Arabidopsis thaliana: one gene and its partner. The protein of the gene in region 2 interacts with the protein of the main gene of each other region in a pairwise test. Each region holds a gene or a part of one and is shown on either strand. Other genes may lie near its edges.

Region 1 (10,641 bases), on a different chromosome or scaffold from region 2:
GGAGGCTTAGTTATGACAATAACAATCCAGCCGAGTAACGAACCAATCATGAATGTGAGCAGAACATTAACCGGCATAAACCACCTGCAATGCAAATCCTCATTTTCATTATAACAAGTGAGCTTAAAGATGATGCAAAATTTGATATTGACTTACATTTTGACCAAGCTTTCATATGTAACACTATCAGCTAAGCGGCTTCCAATAAGCGAAGGACTAAACACATAGAAGACAATCTATACACAAACAAAAGAGAAATTTAAGTTAACTCTTTTAGATTATTTGTTAAAGAAGAGAGTTAAAAAACGGACGTTGTTCAAATGTTTGCGAGCATCATGACCAAGAAGATTGACTGTGTCGAGAGCCAAATAAAATCCAACTGATGTTATCAACAAAGTCTCCACAACTGGTTTCGATGAAGCTATGAACAACTCCAAAAGCTTCATCTCTACTTCCAAAAGTTAGAATCTGCAAACTTAATCCATATATTACATGATTTGAGATAAAGAAACAATGAACCAAACGACGATAACTTATGGAGAAATCAAATGAAATGGTATAGTTACCTTTTTAGAGGAAGAGTGAAGGAGAGATATAGAGTAAGTATTATTTTTGTTCCGTATGAAAAAACCAACGTATCATAACCACCAACTCTTTATCTGAGAAAAAAAGAATACAAATTATAAGGGAACCATCGTCATGCCTTTAGTCACAGCGACTAGGAAACGTGCCATGTTACTTTGTGGTTCTTGCTGAAGATGTGGATATGTCGCATTGTGTTTACCGTATGGTAAAGAACAATAACGTTGATTTTAAAAAAACTTCTGTTGTTGTCATCTATTTTCTGAAGAATCGTTTCATAAACTAAAATGTTTCAGTACTATAATTTTTGTTTTTCCACAGTTTCACTAGCTACAAATTTATATATTACATATAGTATATCTTGGAGTCTAGCATGCACTTTAGCCCTGATGTGGAAGGTTATACATCAAAATCTCAAATATGACGTGATGAGACATTAATTGATCTTAGAGTACGATTAGGTTTGAGATACATGGACACAGATGTAAAGAAATTTATCACAAAATCCACCAATTAGAGCTTTTTGTCACCACTCTTTTCTCTCATCATTTGTACTCACTTGACTGATATGTAATAGTCTATTAAACCAAATGTAACAATCTGAAATTTTTCTCAGGTGTACCAAACTAAACAAAGGAATAGCTTTCTGCCATGGCCACAGTCACAAGTAGTCAAGTAGATTGTTCTCTGGTTTTACCCTGTTTCAAGAGAGAATGATTTGGGTATCATAACAGAGATTTTAAGCCTCACAATCTCTTGATGGATCCCAAGACAATGAGGATCAAAATAGCAGATTCTTGATGAGGCTGGACTTGATCTTCTATCTGTAAGTTACAGACTGTAAGTCCAAAGTTCGTATCAAAAGACTTATAAGTATATGTTCTCTATTATACTTGATCCAATCATCTGGAAGTCCAAGAACAATTCTTGAATCAATGGAACAAAACAATACATGTAACATGATGAGTATGGGGGTCTATTCTAAGCTACAAGCCACATGAAGAATGTTGGCCAAACAGTGAGTGCAATCGAAGCCAAAGAGTAAGTCCAGAGCATAATCACTGAGCATTCACTCTCCCCAGTTCCAAATAACTGAGTAATTGTACCTGCAAGAGTAAGTGAAACTAATGAAGTGATCTTATCTGAAAGAAGTAACTGTATTTTTTAAAGAGTTGGTTTCAGAGCAATGAACCTAGATTCATGGCTGGTGGGACAGCATATTGAAGAAGAAGAACGAATTGGTATAAGGGCTCTGATGTAACTAAATCCAACTTATATGCTCCTCTTACGATTAAAACACCGCTCATAGGCAGTAAAACGTAACGCGCAACCAAGACGCCGATAATACTGGACATTTTCATTCCTGAACTCCTCAAACCTTTGAGTAGGTTTCCTCCTATAATCATGGTCATTGCAGGAACTGCCCCATCTCTTCAGCCAAAAGAAACAAGACACATAAGAAGCTTTCGAATGAGTGAGTTACGTTTTTCCAAGAGATGATTCATTGTTGAGCTAATGCTAAGATAATGGTCTAATTTTAGCTGCAGTTACCCCACTAGAGTTACTGAGTCTTGAAGCACCCGGAGAGGAGCTTCCGTGCCGATTATTAGCTTCCTTAAAGGAGTAATGAGCCCGATCACAAGTGCAATCATCTGGAAACAGAAGAACAAAAAGGGTAATTAGAAAGATTACACTAGTGTGAGTGACGTCTCAAATGTATAAAACAGAGCCATTGAAACACAAACCGCAGCAATAGTTGATGGAGCAAAAATTGTCTTAAGGTTGACTTTTTGTGACAGTGAAACCAATCTCCGCTTGACTTTTTCCCACCTCCCAGCCTGTCATATACACACAGTCACTACCAACTTTGATAAATGAATAGTTACTGATCATGTGCATATGTGATGAAACCTTTTGGTTGTTTTCTTCTTCCTTGGAAGAAATAAGGGGAACTTTGTAGCTGTCGTAGTTGGATTCAACAGAGGGAGGGGTTTCAACGGGAGAGTTCGATAGCACACGCATAAGATTGTATACATAAGTCCATATGTAAATAGATCCCATCTGATACGTTACCAAGTACTGTCATGAGACATACTGATTACAAAACCTTGAAGAAGAAGAAGACAAAGAAGAAGAAGAAGAAGAACTTACAGCCATGGAGAGAGCAACATAACCCATTCCATATTTCTGGCAACTCTCAGGATCTCCAAAGGGACCTCCTTTTTCTTTACAAACAGCTGGGATTATAATCAGTGGCATATTCCCCAAATTCCCTGTTTTGTTTCATTCATTACCACAGTCATAAGCAAAACACAAGTTAAACAGATTCTGAAATCAGAAACATTCATGTTAAGGTTTGTTACCAGCAGCACAACAACCAAGAATGAGACCACGAAGGTGTGAAGGAGGCTTAGTGATGACAATAACAATCCAGCCAAGTAATGAACCAATGATGAATGTAAGCAGAACATTCACCGGCATGAACCACCTGCAAATCCTCATTTTCATTAACCAAAGAGCAAAGATTACAGACTCAAGATGCAAAATCTGAGATTGACTTACATTTTGACCAAGCTTTCGTATGTAACACTATCAGCTAAACGGCTTCCAATAAGCGAAGGACTAAACACATAGAAGACAATCTATATACACACACATCAAGAAAATGATAACAAAACAGAGACATATTAAAGTTGAATCATTTAGATTTATTAAAGAAAAGAGTAAAATTAAGTGATAATTAACTGACGTTGTTCAGATATTTACGAGCATCATGACCAAGAAGATTGACTCCATCGAGAGCCATATAAAATCCGACTGATGTTATCAACAGAATCTCAACGACTGGTTTTGATGAAGTTATGAACAGCTCCAAAAGCTTCACCATCTTTTTACTATCAACGCGAGAATCTGCAAGTATAAGTTAACTGTAGCAGAGGAAACAGAGAATCAATGGAGCTGCAAGAACCGCCGAAGAAAACAGAGCAATCCAAGAAGGGAATGAATTTTTTAACCGATTTAGAGGAAGAGAGAGATTTATCGTCAGTGGTACAGCTAGATGACAGTGAGAAGCCGCCGTATCAGAACTTTCTCACTCTCTCTCTATGAAAGAGAAAGAGCGTCTCCAAAATTTGGCCTAGTACAACACTTGCATGGTCGCCTCTTCATTCTATTTAAATTCTTGTCTATCCACAAAATGCTTTTTTCAAGAAACTAATCTCTTTATTTGGGGCAAACTTAGAAACTAATCTTTTTAACTAAGGTAAATTATTATTCTATGCATATGGGAAGAGAATTTCATATTTTCATCCTACATATTTTGTATGTACAACTTGGTGTCCGCATGATCCGGGTCAGACTTTTACATCTTCTTTGTTTTTGGAATTGTTTTGTTCCGTATAAGCAACAAAATAACGTATCATAGATTCATAGTTAGCTCCTTTTTGAATTCCAACTTTCACAACTTATGAGTTATGATATATCTCGTAAGTTTATGTCCTTTGATTTTGTATATTTTCCAATTTTTTGTAACCTAGTTTATGTACAAAAAGAAAGAGGAAACAGTTCCACAATTTTTGGAAAACTCAACTCAAGCGGGGTCTTTGTTTGTTTCGTATATTGTCGTATAACACTATTGAGAATAATAAGGCTTTATCTGAGAAGACGAATTTATATGGTAACCGTCGTCATGCCTTTCGTCACATCGACTACGAAACGTGCCCCATGTTTTTTTCTGGTTCTTGCCCAAGGTGTGGAGATATTGCAAAGTGTTCATCGATTGTTGAAGATTTATTATTTATTTTATTTTATATATTTTTTTAAAAAAAACATTTTTCTTTTTGTCATCTATTTTTAAGGGGAATTGTTATAAAAATGTACATTTTCATATGCGTCGTAAGAAATTTGAAATGGAAACAAAACTGAATGAGAATAAGATAATAGTGTGGTGGCTTAAATTAATTGTGTGATGGAAGCGTACCAACGAAACGATCGAATATTAATGATAACGGAAAATTCAAATTAGTGTGTGAGGCTGCGACCAGTGTCCGTCCATAAAATTCAATGCAAGATATAAATGTAACAACCCCAATATCAAAATAGTCGACTAATTCTTACCAAAAAAAAACAATTAGCGAATAATTAGAATTATCATACAGTGCTAAAAATATGTATATATATATATACGAGATACAAATATTTAAGTATATATTGTCAAAGTGCAAATTTTAGTGATTTATTAATGAAAAATACACAATAGACTGGATAATTGTAGAAGTGGGATATATTATACACACTACAATAAAAATCTCTTATGTGACTCGAATCCTATAACTCTTCTCATGTGAAGCAAGAGATATTAGACCATCCTTAATTCCTTATATGTAAGCTTATTGTATATGCAACAAGCCTAATGAAGGCCATGTCATGAGCTATCTTCTTATTTATCTATCTTATTAGAGCATGAATAAACTTGTTTGTATAGGATTTCTACTCACACAAGAGACTTGTGAATATGTATTTTTAAAGAGGTTAATTAACAGTATTTGATATTTCTATGATCTCATAGCTATGAATATGATGATTCAAAGAACGTGAACAAAAGATATCTGTAACAAAAAGAAAAGGACAAAGATATGTCAAATTGAAATGCTCCACTCGTTTTAATGTCCGTGAATGAAAATAACAAACTTGACATATATTGAAAATCTTGATTTGTACTATTGGAAATGTGGGGCATCAAAGACTATTATTCCCTAAAAATAATGGTCCTTAATTCATTAGAATTTTGGACAAAAAGCTTTGCTTAATTCTGTACCATTTTGCTTCGAATGAATATGCTCATACTATTTGTTATCCTTTGGATCCACACCAATTCATTAAATTGCAATTATTTGTCACTTTGACAAGTACTATACCTACATACTGAGAAAATCATCATCACCATAATTGTAAAGTTAATCACGTTAATTATATGCTAGCTAGTCTATAATTAAAGATTCAAACACTATATTTTTTTGGTACAACAAAAACTCTATATTGAACATGAACGCACAATGCTTCGATATTTCTTTCTCTATCTTTAGTAACAAATAAAAACACAACAACAATCGAGACAAGCAGAAACCTACGTTGTCTTCCGTGTTTAATTGGGCCTAAGATTATATTCATAATATACCTTACATATTGAGCCCATAGTTTACAATAATGGGCTTTGTTATGTAAATGGGTCGTAAAAGTCCAACTTTCTGAAATATCATTAATAAGTTTTGCTATTAAGATCTTCGTTAAGAGTTAATACAAGTAACAAGCATTAATTTCTTTCTTAATGAATTCATGTGTTCATTATATCATCCGTATAAATCTTTTGATCTGCATATCTCTCCGTTTAATTGATATCTTTCCGTTTCTCGCTTCTTTTTCTCCGCCGGCGTCCTTCCATTTCGCCGGCTGCTATCGAACCCTAACCCGCGACGACTCCACCGTCTCCGGCGTCTTCTTCTTCCGGCGAAACCGGTAACCGTATCTTTTGTTTCTATGTATGTACTCCATGATTTCGTGAAGCTCTGCTTTCTAATGCTTTAGTCGCCATCACTGTTTGAATTATAGCGAATCAGTGAGAGAGTAGGACTCAGAGTTTTGATGCGTTCCAATTCTCGATTACATGCGTCTTGCATTCTCTCTGGAATTATCAATAGTGCGTTTCTATTTATGATTTCTGGATTTTGAATTCTGCGTTGTTGTTGTGATGCTATGTCTCAGAGAATTAGCTTCATGATGGCGGATACTGAAATGCAAGAGCAAGATGTGCCGTCTGGTACCAAAGGTGTTGTAGAGGAGCCTTCAGAACTAGAGAAAGACCTAAACTCTATTGAAAGACCTAAGTCCCCTGTTCCAGAGGATACGACTCATACTTTGGATAGTGATGTTCATTTATCTGATGCTCCCATTGCTAATCAAATTGAGGCTAATGAAGAGGTTGGTGGTCAGAACAGTGTTGATGGGAGGAATGGTGATGTTGATCAGTCTGAAAAGAAGATTACTAGTGATGGCGGTCAAGAGGAGACAACACTTGGGGAATCAAATCCTTTGAAGGGGGATCCGTCGAGTCCTCATGTTCCTGAAGAAAGTGTTAAGAAGTGGAAGACATGGTTGTTGAGTGATGCTGAGGTGATGAGAGCACTTTTCTGTCACATTTCAGACAACTAGTCTGCCTGCATTTGCGTTAAGCGTTGAATATTGTTTTTTGTGAGATCTGTGGTCATCACAGTGGCTCTATTTCATCACGAGTTCACGTTTTTATACAGGCCAGGGAAGTTGATGAAGCAGGGGCACCACAGGATCAAGAGGCGTTTATTAAAGAAGTGGAGGCCTTCAACAAGGAGAATTTCCTGGAATTTAAAGCCCCAAAGTTTTACGGACAGCCCTTAAATTGTCTCAAGTGAGTTGTTGGAAGTGTTGCTTTAATTCTTGGAAAATTCCATACTTTTGGTTATGCCTTGTTTGACGTGATAACGTCTGCATGCTTTACTTTGAAATGTAGGCTTTGGAGAGCCGTTATCAAGTTAGGTGGCTACGATGTGGTAATGATCTACTTTCGAACTTCCAATGATTTTATGTTTACTAAGATCTTCTCCTCCCTCTTCCCCTTTAGGAGGTTAAAAATCTTTTAGATTATTATCTACAGGTCATGCGATTTATACGTTTTGGGTTGTATAACGTGTGAACTATAGCTAATGAATGAGAAGATGATTTAAGAACAAGGAATGGCTTCCGGAAATAATTAAGTCAATGCAGTTATGTGTTAATTATGTTAGGTCTGTGTTTTGGCAACTGAACTTGCTTAGTGTCATCTACTCTGTTTGAAAGTTTATACTCAAATCTATCCCACCGCCCACGTTGCTTGAAACTCTATGTCTGTGGTATTCAAAATTCCTATGATTTTCATTTTCTTATATAGGTCACCACATCTAAGCTATGGCGGCAAGTTGGAGAATCGTTCCATCCTCCAAAGTATGGCTTGTATTGTCCTCAATCTTCAACCTTTTCCGCTTTCTTGTATGAAATTGACTTTCCACATTTTTGTTATTCAGAACATGCACTACAGTCTCCTGGACATTCCGCATTTTCTATGAAAAGGTGAATTTCATTTTTGGTCTAAGTACTGAATATGCATTGATATTAATGAGGTTGTACTTGTTCAGTTTAGTTCATACATGTTCGATTCAGACAATGTTCTTTTGCTCCTTTTGTCAGTAGTGTGTCTGAGACTAGCTGGTTTCGTTATCATTTATGTCGTGGTTTAGTAGCCTTCTAACAGTTTATTTGGATTGACTCCTTCCTAACATGGAGTCTGGTTGATTTCTATCCTATCAAGATGTGGAAATTTCATTATTTGTATCCTTATTTCCAACCGCAGGCACTTTTGGAGTATGAGAAGCATTTAAGGCAAAATGGTGAGCTTAACCTTCCTGGTTCAGCTTCTCTTCCGTCTTCAGGCATTGAAAAGGAGGTTAGAATTCCTATGAAATTGTGTAATTCTTATGCTTTTGGGTAGGTGAACACTTTGAGAGGAGGTCAATTTAAGAGTAGGTAAACCATGTTGTTAAATTAGATAAAGTGAAAGCTCTGCAGTTCTTTATAAAATCATTTTATACAGATGGAAATTTCGGGCATGAGTAATATCAGCTTAACATGTTGAATACTACTCTCTGCAATCTGATTGAATAAAGCTGTACCGTTTTGTGTTATATGGGAAACATAAGAAATAATATGTACACAACACAGCTAATTACCAATTTAAGCTCCCTAAAACAGAATTTTAAACTTTATATGCCTTCCCTTTTTCTCTCATTGATATAAGGGCACTTATGTAGGCAAGTAGCCATCAAGCTTCAGGGTCAGGCAGAACAAGAAGAGATGCTGCAGCTCGTGCTATGCAAGGTTGGCATTCTCAGCGCCTTCTTGGATCTGGGGAGGTTACTGAGCCTATTGTTAAGGTTTCTATTTAGACCTTACCACGTTTCATAATTCACCATGCACAAACTTACGCTTCAACATGATTCTGTTTGTACATATATTTTCAGGAGAAAGGCTTGAATTCAACCCCAAAGCAAAAGAACCTCAAAAACATTGGTAATATTCCTAAGCGATGGCTATTGTTCTCCACTACCTACAGAATGATTACCTAATGCCACCGTGTATAAATGTTCTTTTCAGGTGTGCAGAAACAAAAAACAACAACCGGCATGGACCTTGTTTTTTCACACGAATCAGAAAAACAGTTACGAAAGATAATCATCTCCTGTATTTTTGTGTTGCTTATGCAAGATTGCTTTACCATGTGCAATTCCATACAATCTTATCCATCGAAAAACCCTGCATTGTCAATGTTTGGTAGATCACAAGCACTGTTTTCTGGGTGGTAGTTGTAAGAACTGCCATTTCAGAAATAGCGCAGGAGATTAAATGAATACAGAGAATTTTGTAACTTGTCTTTTCATTTCGTTTATTATAATCAGAGCAAAAGATTGATAATATGGTTTTGGCTTGATAGGTCAACTGCCGAGGTTATAGATGTTGGACCCCCTGCAGACTGGGTGAAGATCAATGTCAGAGAAACTGTGAGTACCACTTCCGCTTCCCCCCTCATATAATGCAACGCTTACCCAACTCTTGAAACTAGAGACATGAGAAAGAAAAAAAGTCAAAAACAACACTGCCTGAAGAAAGGGAAATAACTGCAATCTGGGTTTTTGTTTTGAATCTGAAATCTTACCAAATTTATTTTTGTTGTCTTTATTTACAGAAAGACTGCTTTGAGATATTTGCCCTGGTACCTGGACTTCTTCGCGAAGAGGTGAGCTTTTCTCCTTGGAATTCAATCTCTAAAGCTTCTTTGATCAGTGTTTTGTCACTGGAGTGTTACTGATTCCTACGACATAGATGTGAACATATACTGGATTCGAATCTAAATACACACACTGTTGTCCGTTGTAATGAATTTCATAGTAATTTTTTGTGTGATTGCACACAGAATCTAGTTCCTCAATATAAGTTGATTTCTTCTTTCAGGTCCGTGTTCAGTCAGACCCTGCAGGGCGGCTAGTTATAGCAGGCCAACCTGAGCAACTTGACAATCCTTGGGGAATCACACCCTTCAAAAAGGTTAGATTCTAACACTCCAAACAGAGCCCTAGTTGCTAATTGAAGGATAGTTGTCAATTGTTTTCCGATTTTGGTTATGGTAGGTTGTGAACTTTCCCGCAAGAATCGATCCGCTGCACACGTCAGCGGTTGTGAGCCTGCATGGTCGACTGTTTGTGCGAGTCCCATTTGAGCAGTGACCGGTCTCATCCCAAGTGAGCTAGTTCTTTATTTGTCTCTTTGTTTTCTTTTAGGAATTCGTTTGTATCAGAACTAAAAACAAACGATAGCAAATGTGATAGTTTGACTGTGACTTGAGTTCTGAATATTAAAGTAGAGAAATGAATATTGATGTTCCATATAAAGTTAGTAAGGAAGCTGTTCCTTATACCTTCAAGTATGCAACCAACAATCACAGTGTCTGGTATATATCTTTTAGAAAATGAAGTTTTCATCTGTTTTCTCTGTTTATTTCAGTTTCAGGTTTCACATAAAGAAAACTTACAATTTATAGTTCAATCAAGTTAAATGGCTCCTATTGTAGGAGAGTACTGAAGTTTTATGGGCTGGAAGCTTTTGGGTTGAGTTAAATGGCCTGAAAATTAGGCCTTAGATGTGTCGTGTTGCTTTCGTGATCCACAATTGCATTCATATATATATATATATATATGATGAGGAAAGTCAAGAAAATTTTTTTTGAAGAAAAAAACTAAACATATTATTGCAACTTCCAATTTGCATTAGACCCAATATTATATATTTACATCTAACACGTTTTGTGATTTTTAGATATTCATGCTTATCTATTTTCTGTTGACATCAGACAAAAATTAGCAAAACATTCTATTGTAATAGTTAATAATATGTGACTATACTACTATAGTATACAATTTTTGTTTAAGTTCTCTCTTTTTA
Region 2 (10,119 bases):
CTTCAATGTCGATGTCACAGAACCGCGCTTACGCTGACTCGCGATTTCGCTTTCCTTTCTTCTCTTCTTCACCTCCGGCAGAAGAATCTCCAACCGATCATAAGTCTTCTTCGAATTCTAAATCGGAGACTAAACCTGACTCCGATGAGCCTAAAGGATCTGGTTTCGATCCTGAGTCATTGGAAAGAGGTGCTAAAGCTCTTCGTGAAATCAATAGCTCTCCTCATTCCAAACAGGTGATAATTGAATCTCTTTCGAGAAATCAACAAGCTCTAGAGTCGTTGATTCTTGTGTTTTGAGACGTTGCTTACATGTTATTGTGTTCACCAGGTGTTTGATCTAATGCGAAAGCAGGAGAAGACTCGATTAGCTGAATTAGCGGCTGAGAAAGAACATAATGAAGCTATTCAAGCTAGCAAGGACATTGTTAGTAACTTGCTCTTCCTTATGTTATATATTGAAAATTTGAGCATGGAGGTTTTGATATGATGTTCCATTGCATTGTCTTTCAAGTTACATTCTCTAAATCTTATTAGGATGTTGGAATCAACTGTCTTTTCGGTGTCTTTGTTGTTTCCTGCTTCAAAGTTTTGCTGAACATTCGTTGCAGAATCTGAAATTTATTATGTTGTAACATTTTAAGTCTGGGAAGCGACAAATATGATTGTTTTATGGGGCTTTGAATGAGCAGGAAAGACAGCGGAAATTGGCAGAGGATCAGAGAAATTTAGTGCAGCAACAGGCCCAAGCGAAAGCGCAAAATCTTAGATATGAGGATGAGTTGGCCAGGAAGAGAATGCAGGTACATTTTTAGAAAGAAACTGTGAACCTATGTGTAACATTTTAAGGTCTTGTGAGGGTTCTTTACTGAGAAGAAGTCTTTGACTTGGAAATTTTGCAGACAGATAATGAAGCTCAGAGACGGCATAATGCTGAATTGGTTTCGATGCAAGAAGCATCTTCTATACGGAAAGAGAAAGCAAGAATTGCCACGGAAGAACAGATTCAAGCACAGCAGCGCGAGACTGAGAAAGAGAGAGCGGAACTTGAGCGAGAAACAATTCGCGTGAAAGCTATGGCTGAGGCTGAAGGCCGAGCTCATGAAGCTAAACTCACTGAGGAGCAGAATAGAAGAATGCTTCTAGATAAGATAAATGGTGAAAGGGAGAAATGGCTTGCAGCAATCAACACGACTTTCAGTCACATTGAAGGTATGGAACTTATAAGCATTGTCCCTTAGATATACACATCTTGTTATACTTAGATTCCCTCAGTTTCTAGTTTCTTTTATATCTGTGGTTCTCCTTGGATTTTTCTGAAATTAAGCAACCTTCTGAGGAATATTTGAGAAGACAATCACCTGGCCAATTATGATTCTCTTCTCTAGGAAGTTATATGCTTCTGATATTTTGGAAATGTGGCTTCATATTCACTTCCCTATATGATCTTGGCAGGAGGAGTAAGGACCTTATTAACTGATCGAAGTAAATTGATTATGACTGTTGGAGGAGTTACGGCATTAGCCGCTGGGGTTTACACAACTCGGTATGCATTGCTTAACATGATTTAAGAAGCCTAACATAAGTAAATTGATTATTATCGCATTTTTAAAACTTATACAGCTGTGATTTAAGAAGCCTAATCGTTCTTTTCTTGACAACAGAGAAGGTGCTAGGGTTACCTGGGGTTATATCAATAGAATTCTTGGGCAGCCATCACTGATCAGAGAATCTTCCATGGGCCGATTCCCATGGGCAGGCTCAGTGTCTCAGTTTAAGAACAAACTTAGCACAGCTGCAGGGGCAGCAGCATCTGCAGAAGGAGAAAAGCCTCTTGAAAATGTAATTCTCCATCGTTCTTTGAAGACGAGAATTGAGCGTCTTGCAAGAGCCACAGCAAATACCAAGTCACATAAAGCACCATTCCGAAACATGATGTTTTATGGGCCTCCAGGTACCGGAAAAACTATGGTGGCGAGGGAGATTGCTCGGAAGTCGGTGAGTTTGTTTTCTTTATGCAACAGAGAACCTGAGCCAAGTTCAGGAATCTACAATAGATTGAACCATTACATGCCTCACTTATTTACATCTGTTTGATTATTTCGTTCTGCAGGGTCTTGATTATGCTATGATGACAGGAGGAGATGTTGCTCCTCTTGGTGCACAGGCTGTTACAAAGATCCATGAAATATTTGATTGGGCTAAGAAATCAAACAAAGGGTTACTGCTTTTCATCGATGAAGCTGATGCTTTCCTATGCGAGTAAGATGCTTTCACCTTTTACCTCAAGCCTTCAGTTATATTACTGATTCTCATCTACTAGACCTCTAAAATATAGAATATAGTTGAACAAAAATTTCTTGTATTCTGATTGCAAACACAATTCCACAATGTAGTATAGTCGCAGTAGGATCAGTGGATTGTTCTTGCGCATTGTTACTTCTACTGTATCTCCAGAGTTCTCTTGTCTTAATAGTTATCAAATTCTTGATCTTTTATCACAGACGTAACAGCACTTACATGAGTGAGGCTCAGCGCAGCGCTCTGAACGCGTTGCTCTTTCGAACCGGTGATCAATCGCGGGACATAGTCCTTGTCCTGGCTACAAACAGACCTGGAGATCTCGACAGTGCAGTCACTGACAGGATCGACGAAGTTATCGAGTTTCCTCTCCCTGGTGAAGAAGAACGCTTCAAGCTCCTCAAGCTCTATCTCAACAAGTACCTAATGGGTGACGACAAGAAAGGTGAGAAAGACTCAAACCTTAAATGGAGCAACTTGTTCAAGAAGAAGAAGTCACAGAAGATAACCATTGAAGGAGACCTAACCGACCAAGTGATTAAAGAAGCTGCAAAAAAGACAGAAGGCTTTTCTGGTCGTGAAATCGCTAAGCTTGTCGCCGGTGTTCAAGCTGCGGTATATGGACGACAGGATTGTGTCTTGGATTCCCAACTTTTTGAAGAAATTGTGGATTATAAGATCGAAGAACATCACCAGAGAATCAGACTTGCGACTGAAGGTGGCCAATCGTTTCCGTAGATCTTTTTGTATCACCGAATCACTCCGTTGTTTCGATTCTATTAAACTGAAATAGTAACATTGTTTGAGTAACCGGTTCAATTTCGGTTAGCTGGAATTTGGTCCAATTTTTATCGTAGGTTTCCCGGTTATACAAACCGCTTCAGACACATGTGATGTGACCTCTCTAATCTTATTGCTTTCAAGTTTCAAAGTGTGGTCTCTGAGGGGAACACGGCCAGCCGTATAATAGGACACGTGGTGAATACTCAGAGAAAGCTCCACAACCAAACCGCATCCTTGGTTGCCACGTAACCTCGTGCAAACACGTGGCGAACAGTAACCGCTTCTCGGAAAGACCTCTGGTCTTTGGATTCGAACGTCTCTCTATAACTATAACTTCCGAGGACATTGGAACTAGGATCAAAACTTTTTAAAAAGGGACAAAACTAAATTGGTCATAGCAAATTCAAAGAAGTTTGATTCGGAATCACTGGTTAAAGAGATGATGGAGAGAAGAAGAACGGCATTGGTATTGTTTGTGGTAGTGGTGGTGTTGACGTGGCAAGAGGGTGTATTGGGGAAATGGTTAGAGTCGACGGCGAAGGAAAAGACCGGTTCATGGGCTGGTTGGGTCTCCGACAAAATCACCACGTAAGTGATATCTAATATCCGAAACTGAAACACACCTGTGGTTGAATCTGTCCTTTACGTAACCATCACGTTGATCCAATTCAGTCTATACTTTCTCTCATTTGGATGTTAAGTACGTGTTTAGTGAGATTAGTAATGTCTTATTGCGTTTTTTATTGGAATCTTTAGATTCGTTCACTACATTGGATATTTACGCATGTATTTGGCCGTAGTTAAGTGAGTGATTGAGAGGTAACGTTTTACTTCTTTTCCCAGTGGATTTGGTACTAAGAAAGAAGAAACAGGAATTTATCAAAAATCTAAAGATGAAGCAAGAAAAGCGGCTCAAGCCGCGGAAAACTATGCTTATGACAAGGCAAATTACGTCAAGGACTCTGCTTACGACAATGCAGGTTACGCCAAGGATTTTGCTGAGAACAAGGCAGAGTACGCAAAGGATTTCGCTTATGACAAGGCTGGTGATGCAAAGAACATGGCATACGAAAATGCGGGCTATGCTAAGGATTTTGCATATGACAAGGCTGGTGATGCAAAGGACATGGCTTATGAGAAAGCGGGCCATGCCAAAGATTTCGCCTATGATAAGGCAGGCAATGCTAAGGACATGGCCTACGAGACAGCGGGATATGCAAAGGATTTCGCCTATGATAAGGGAGGCTACGCGAAGGATGTTGCCTATGATAAGGCAGGCAATGCAAAGGATATGGCATATGAGAAGGCGGGAAATGCGAAGGACATGGCCTACGAGAAGGCGGAACACATAAAGGATTTCACATATGATAAAGTGGGATCTGCTTACGGAAGTGCACAGAGTATGATGGACTCTGGTTATGATAAGGCCGGTGATGCCAAGGACATGGCCTATGAGAAGGCAGGCATAGTAAAAGACATGGCATATGATAAAGCGGGGGATGCAAAGGACGTGGCTTATGAGAAGGCTGGCATTGCCAAGGATATGGCCTATGATAAGGCGGGCAATGCCAAGGACATGGCCTATGATAAGGTGGGATCTGCTTATGGCAGTGCGCAGAAGGCAAAGGATTCTGGTTATGAGAAAGCTGGTGAGGCCAAAGACTACGCCTACAAGAAGGCTGGCAATGCAAAAGACATAGCTTACGAAAAGGCCCAAGATGCAAAAGACTTTGCATATGACAAGGCGGGTTACGGATACGACAAGGCCGGTGATGTGATTAGGATGGCAACGGATAAGAGCGGTGAAGCCTATGAAGGAGCCAAAGAAAAGTCAAAGAGTGCCAAAGACACGGCAGGAGAAGCAATGGATGATTCTATTGACTACATGAAAGACAAATCACACAATGCCAAAGATGGAGCAACTAGAGGATTTGAAGAAGCCATGGAAAAAGTCGGCGAAAAGTACGGTGTAGCCAAAGAATCCACAAAATATGCTTATGAAACCGCAAAGAAAAAGGCTTCTCAAGTTGCGGGAGAAATAAGAGACCGTTATGCTGAGCTCTAAAATCAATTTGTTATACAATAAACACAAAGTCTTTAAGTTAAAGCAATGTTGAACAAAGAGAAGTAAAAATAGTATATATATATATATAGAAATCTCTTACAAATCCTTCTTCTTTGCTGCTTGTTTATTGTTGTGCATCCAAACTTTAAACACTTGTCTTTTAACTTTAATCTCACGACAAAACCGATTCACTTCATCATCTTCTAGTTTTGTCATTCTCCAACCAATCTTCTCAGCAAACTCCATCATCTTCTCCTTCTGTTCTTCATTAAACTTTGTCCTAAACCGTTTCTTGGGTTGATAATGATGAAACTGATCCACTCCATAACCACTAAAAGATTGATGAAACTTGTTTAGATCCTCCGTCGATGACTCCGCCGCACAACCACCACCACCACCAAAACTCATCATTATCGGAGACACGTGGCGGCTTCCGAGTGGTCTCTGTGAATGGCCAAAGCTATTGAAATTGACAACAAACAAACCATCGATCTCTTTTCTATGGAAGCTCCGGTGGCAATCACAAGCTGCACAAAGAAGAGACTCCACCGTGCCTTCTTCCCCGGAAGACATAAACTCGCCGCAACCGTCGACAACGTGTCCACCGGAGCTCGCCGCGTGATTCTTTTGGCATTCTCTATACCTTGCCTTCCCCGGAGAAGTAGTTTGAGGCCTAGCGTATGATCTTGGAGCATGAGATATAGAAATTGGGTTAGTATCAAGATCCGGATCCGGATCCGGGTCCGACCCGTTTCTTTTGGTGGTGGGTTTCTCTTTGTTGGCGGTTTGGGAGTAAGTGTACGGAGGAAGACGATGATGATCTAGAGCTGATGATTTTCTTCTTGTCATCTCCATTTTCTCATCTTTCTTCTCTCTAACTTCCATCTTTTCTGATCTTGAAGCTTCTGAATAAAGAAAACCCTAATATATAACTTTTCTCTTAAACAAACATTAAAACTTTCTTAGTAATCTCTCTCCAAAACCCTAAGCTATTTTGATTAAAGAAATCATCATAGCTTTAGCTTCTCATAAACCTATAGAGAAAATGAAGATGATAAATATCTCTTCCAAAGTTGAAACCTTTTTAAAAATTTTGACTTTGACTTTTGTATTAGTGATAGCCCACCAAAACCTACTAGACTAATCTCAAGTCTACAAGCAACTAAATTAAAGGGGAAAACTTATCTAACCCCATTTAAGAAGAGATCAAGAAAAGAAAATAAAGTTTAGGTCGTTACTAATGGAGAAAGAGAAAAGAGGAGAGAAGAAGACACTATTGGTCCTTCTAGAGAGAGAATTAGAGAATCGTGTTTCCTATTGCCCATCAATTTCCGAGAGAGAAAAAAAATCTAATGAAGGAGCCAAGTGGGTTTGGTCTGTGCCAATAATAATAATAACACAGTCCACTAAGAAACAAGAGATGGAGAGAGAAAGTAAGATGTGGACTTGTAGCAGACAGTGCCACGTTGTTTCTCTATCATACAGTGTCCGCACATTGGTCGCAATACATCTTTCTTTTATTGGTTTTTAATGTTGAGTAATGATAAAATTATCTTGTGTTAATTAAGTCGAATGTCAACAATTAGTATAGTTGATGAGATTAGTGTCTGTGGCTTAGCGTAAAATTAGCGATGTAAGTAGGTTTAGTACGATCAGTGCAACATATTATGGTGCATGCATTAAATATTGTTTGTAAAATAAAATGAAAGATTGAATACCTTATGAACATTTACTTTGTAAAATAAATAAGATAACCAAAATATTGTTTGTAAAATAAGCGAAAATCGAATTGGTCGAAATATTTGTAATATATGGTATGGTCTCTTATCTACTTTGATCTGATTTTTAAAATTCAGACAACCAAAATAAGATGATTTGGGCAGAATTTTTTCTCAACTCTTTTATTTTGCGCTAATTAGAGTAACCAATCACATTCTTAATGTTTTTTTCCGTACACACCCTTAATGTTTAAAGTTATGAAAACATACAATAAATAAAAAAAATGGAGTAATCGACAGTGTTTTGACCGGATTTGTGTTTCATAATGCAATCCTTACACAATTCTCATTGGAGAGCTTTATTTCATTTTATTTTTTTGGGAAAAACTGGAGAGCTTTTACCGGACTTTTAATATATAAAAACTTATGAAAAAAATTCTTAATAGGCTTTTCTTCCACTTGTCAATTTATATTTAATATTAAATTTTTCATTTTAGTGTAAGTTACATTAAAATAACAATATTTATTGTTAAGATATTCAAAATAAGTATCTAATGGATGAGAATTATGGTTTAGAAGAATAAATATAAAATCAAAACAAAAAAAAAGAACAGAAAGTGGACGAATGATGTTCTACTTGACATATAAAACTAAAACTAAATCTTCAAACCAAGATATATATATATATATATATATATATATATATATATATATATATACTTTTAGTTACGGTTGATTTCTCCAAAATGGAGCCAAAAGATCAGTAGACCATGATAGAAGAACAAAAAAAGGATTTTAGTGCTGGATAATGATTATGATTCGTTGATGACATACAGGATTATTATCATTTGTTTAGTTAGTTGAACAATTATATTTAAATTGAATGGTCAGTCTAGATACATGTAACTATATGCATTTCTCATGTGCGACATATCTCATCCCATATGCTGTTCCTCGCGGCCACACGTTCGGGGAAATCTAACTTGATTTTTTTTACAATAAACAATACTAGTACTTCGTGAAGAAAAAGAATTACTAACATTTTGAGATTCTTAATTTCTAATAATGCCTTTTTTAGAAGAAAAAAAAATCAAAGTTTAGGAGAGAGGAAAATAATAATATTCTAAAGTTTACAACTATCATCTAAGAAACTAGTATATATCATTCTATCATTGTACTTTTTTAAATATAACATTTATCATTATACAAAAAAATTCATAACATCCTATGAAAAATAAATAAAACTTAGGCTTCTTTCATTTTTTAAATGTGAAAAAAACAGACACAAAATCTTAATAAATTGAAAAGGGAGGATTATAAAGGAAACAAAGCCTCATTTGAAACTTAAGTATAATTGTTTTGAAGTATATTACTGATATCTATTTAATATGATTATATATTTATATATATGTAATGATAATCTATTTTACAATTAGTAGAAATTATTATTTTTATTGATATAACATATTTTTTTATGTTTCATTTAATAACATTTTATGATTTGGTCGAGTAATTTAGTGATTCTTTTTATAAAAAAAAATAGTAAGGAGGAACATTGGACCAGACAAAAAAATACCAAAAAAATACAGTAAGGAGGAACATAAATTTTGAAGAAAATAATAGGAATGACTTCTGTCATTCAAAAAATGATTAAAAATCTTTTTGTTCAAAATGTTTCATACAAAATAAATAAATAACATGTTATTTTCTAATCATAGCTCATCATATAGAGGCCAATTTCCTTTTTAGATTATAGCAATATATTACAACAAGAAATTTATATCTAAAAATAGACTTATAAATTTTAAAAAACTAGCTAATAGTTTGTTGATTAAACAATTAAAGTGCTAGATTTTTACTTAAACATAAAATAATATGTTATATTAATGATATTATTTTTACAATTAATGATATTATTTCAATTTAAGTAAGAACTAAAATAACAAATTGATTAAACAATTAAAGTGCTAATTCTTTTATTTTTGGATGACATGACATTTAAGAAGAAACTATGTTGAATAGTGAATACAAAGCACAAGAATCTATTAAAAAAAAATCTTTAAAAGCAAAAAGTCATATGCTAATCAAAATGAGTGGAAAGTTCCATCTTGAAAGTTTTTCTCCTTGATTAATCCTTGTGATTATAACTCATTACAGATGTAAAACACATAATGCACAAAAATAAAAATTCATGATGTTACTATGTTGGTTAAAAATTATTTAATTAATTTTTATGATATAGTGAAAAATAAATAACTGATTGTAACTTATATGTGATCGATTAAGCTCTAACGTATATAAGAAAACCATGCCAAAAATGGTATACAAAATTTTATATTATGACTTTAAAATTTCCAAAAAATTCTAACATAATGTTGATTAAATTGTTCGTTATGTTTTATTTTATATACCAACACCATAATTTATATAGATAAACAGAACTGGCGTAAAAATACATTAAAAATATATATCTACATGACCAGGGGTAATGCATCTGGATTCTCTGTCTGGTAACAGAATATTTTCTACATGAATTTAAATTGCTATTGTGTTAAAATATTTCTCTAACCTTTACTTTTCTTAAACATGTCGGCAATGACAACTAGTTATGGATCAATTTCCGAGCAATCAGATAAGAGAAATATTAAAATAATTGTATACTATTGTGTATCTGCTATAATTATATTTATTTTAGAGTATAAAATAAAAATGTTTGTATGGTAAAATTCGTGTAATGCACTGGGCATGCACGTGGCAGTTCCCCAGCCTTTTTTCTTGCACTCTTTGACCGAGTGGCGAGTGTTAATTGCTTTTACTATGGTTGATGACACTCTAATTACTAGTAGTTGGACGACAGCAGGTAAATCAGTAAAGTAATCATGCTTATTAAAAATACTAGGAGTATTATTTTTGTGTTACATTAAGCTCACCCTTAAAATAGATAAATGCAACAAAAGATCTATTTACTTCTAAGACATTTCTTAAAATTATTAAGTGTAGAGAAGAATGAAGAAAACTTGATTAAAAAAAATTGTGTGTTTGGTCTCTAAAACTGAGAAATTGATGAGAGTTTAGAAATGAAAGTCACACAATATCATTACTCTCTCGTTTTTGTCAATAATTTATTCATAACTGATGTTACAGTATTTATTTTAATTTTTATTTTCCACTAGCATACTTGAAAGGCTGAAATGAACCCAAAAACAAAAAAAACAAAAACAAAAAAACTTTAAACAAAAACTATATACCTAAT

The links.
Region 1: the proteins of HB24 (region 2) and AT1G76510 interact in a two-hybrid assay, tested with the Arabidopsis thaliana proteins (one large-scale study listed by BioGRID).

What each region holds. Positions count from the first base shown.
Region 1 is NC_003070.9:28,708,212-28,718,852, reverse strand, and holds AT1G76510 (ARID/BRIGHT DNA-binding domain-containing protein), read left to right. Parts: upstream 1-5,904; 5' UTR 5,905-6,119; intron 6,120-6,342; 5' UTR 6,343-6,354; coding exon 6,355-6,750; intron 6,751-6,887; coding exon 6,888-7,021; intron 7,022-7,123; coding exon 7,124-7,163; intron 7,164-7,540; coding exon 7,541-7,593; intron 7,594-7,673; coding exon 7,674-7,788; intron 7,789-7,999; coding exon 8,000-8,092; intron 8,093-8,456; coding exon 8,457-8,579; intron 8,580-8,666; coding exon 8,667-8,715; intron 8,716-8,799; coding exon 8,800-8,863; intron 8,864-9,136; coding exon 9,137-9,203; intron 9,204-9,388; coding exon 9,389-9,439; intron 9,440-9,654; coding exon 9,655-9,747; intron 9,748-9,830; coding exon 9,831-9,922; coding exon of another isoform or gene 9,923-9,926; exon of another isoform or gene 9,927-10,060; coding exon 10,061-10,172; 3' UTR 10,173-10,514; downstream 10,515-10,641. Other genes in the region: AT1G76530 (Auxin efflux carrier family protein), read right to left, coding at 1-84, 157-236, 312-446; AT1G76520 (Auxin efflux carrier family protein), read right to left, coding at 1,564-1,688, 1,775-2,013, 2,134-2,234, 2,328-2,420, 2,494-2,643, 2,734-2,855, 2,946-3,070, 3,145-3,224 and 1 more.
Region 2 is NC_003071.7:7,965,878-7,975,996, forward strand, and holds HB24 (homeobox protein 24), read right to left. Parts: upstream 6,205-10,119; 5' UTR 6,034-6,204; coding exon 5,245-6,033; 3' UTR 5,149-5,244; downstream 1-5,148. Other genes in the region: AT2G18330 (AAA-type ATPase family protein), read left to right, coding at 1-236, 331-426, 692-802, 902-1,211, 1,455-1,545, 1,664-1,997, 2,113-2,261, 2,504-3,038; AT2G18340 (late embryogenesis abundant domain-containing protein / LEA domain-containing protein), read left to right, coding at 3,523-3,671, 3,927-5,148. UniProt on the Arabidopsis thaliana protein: Putative transcription factor.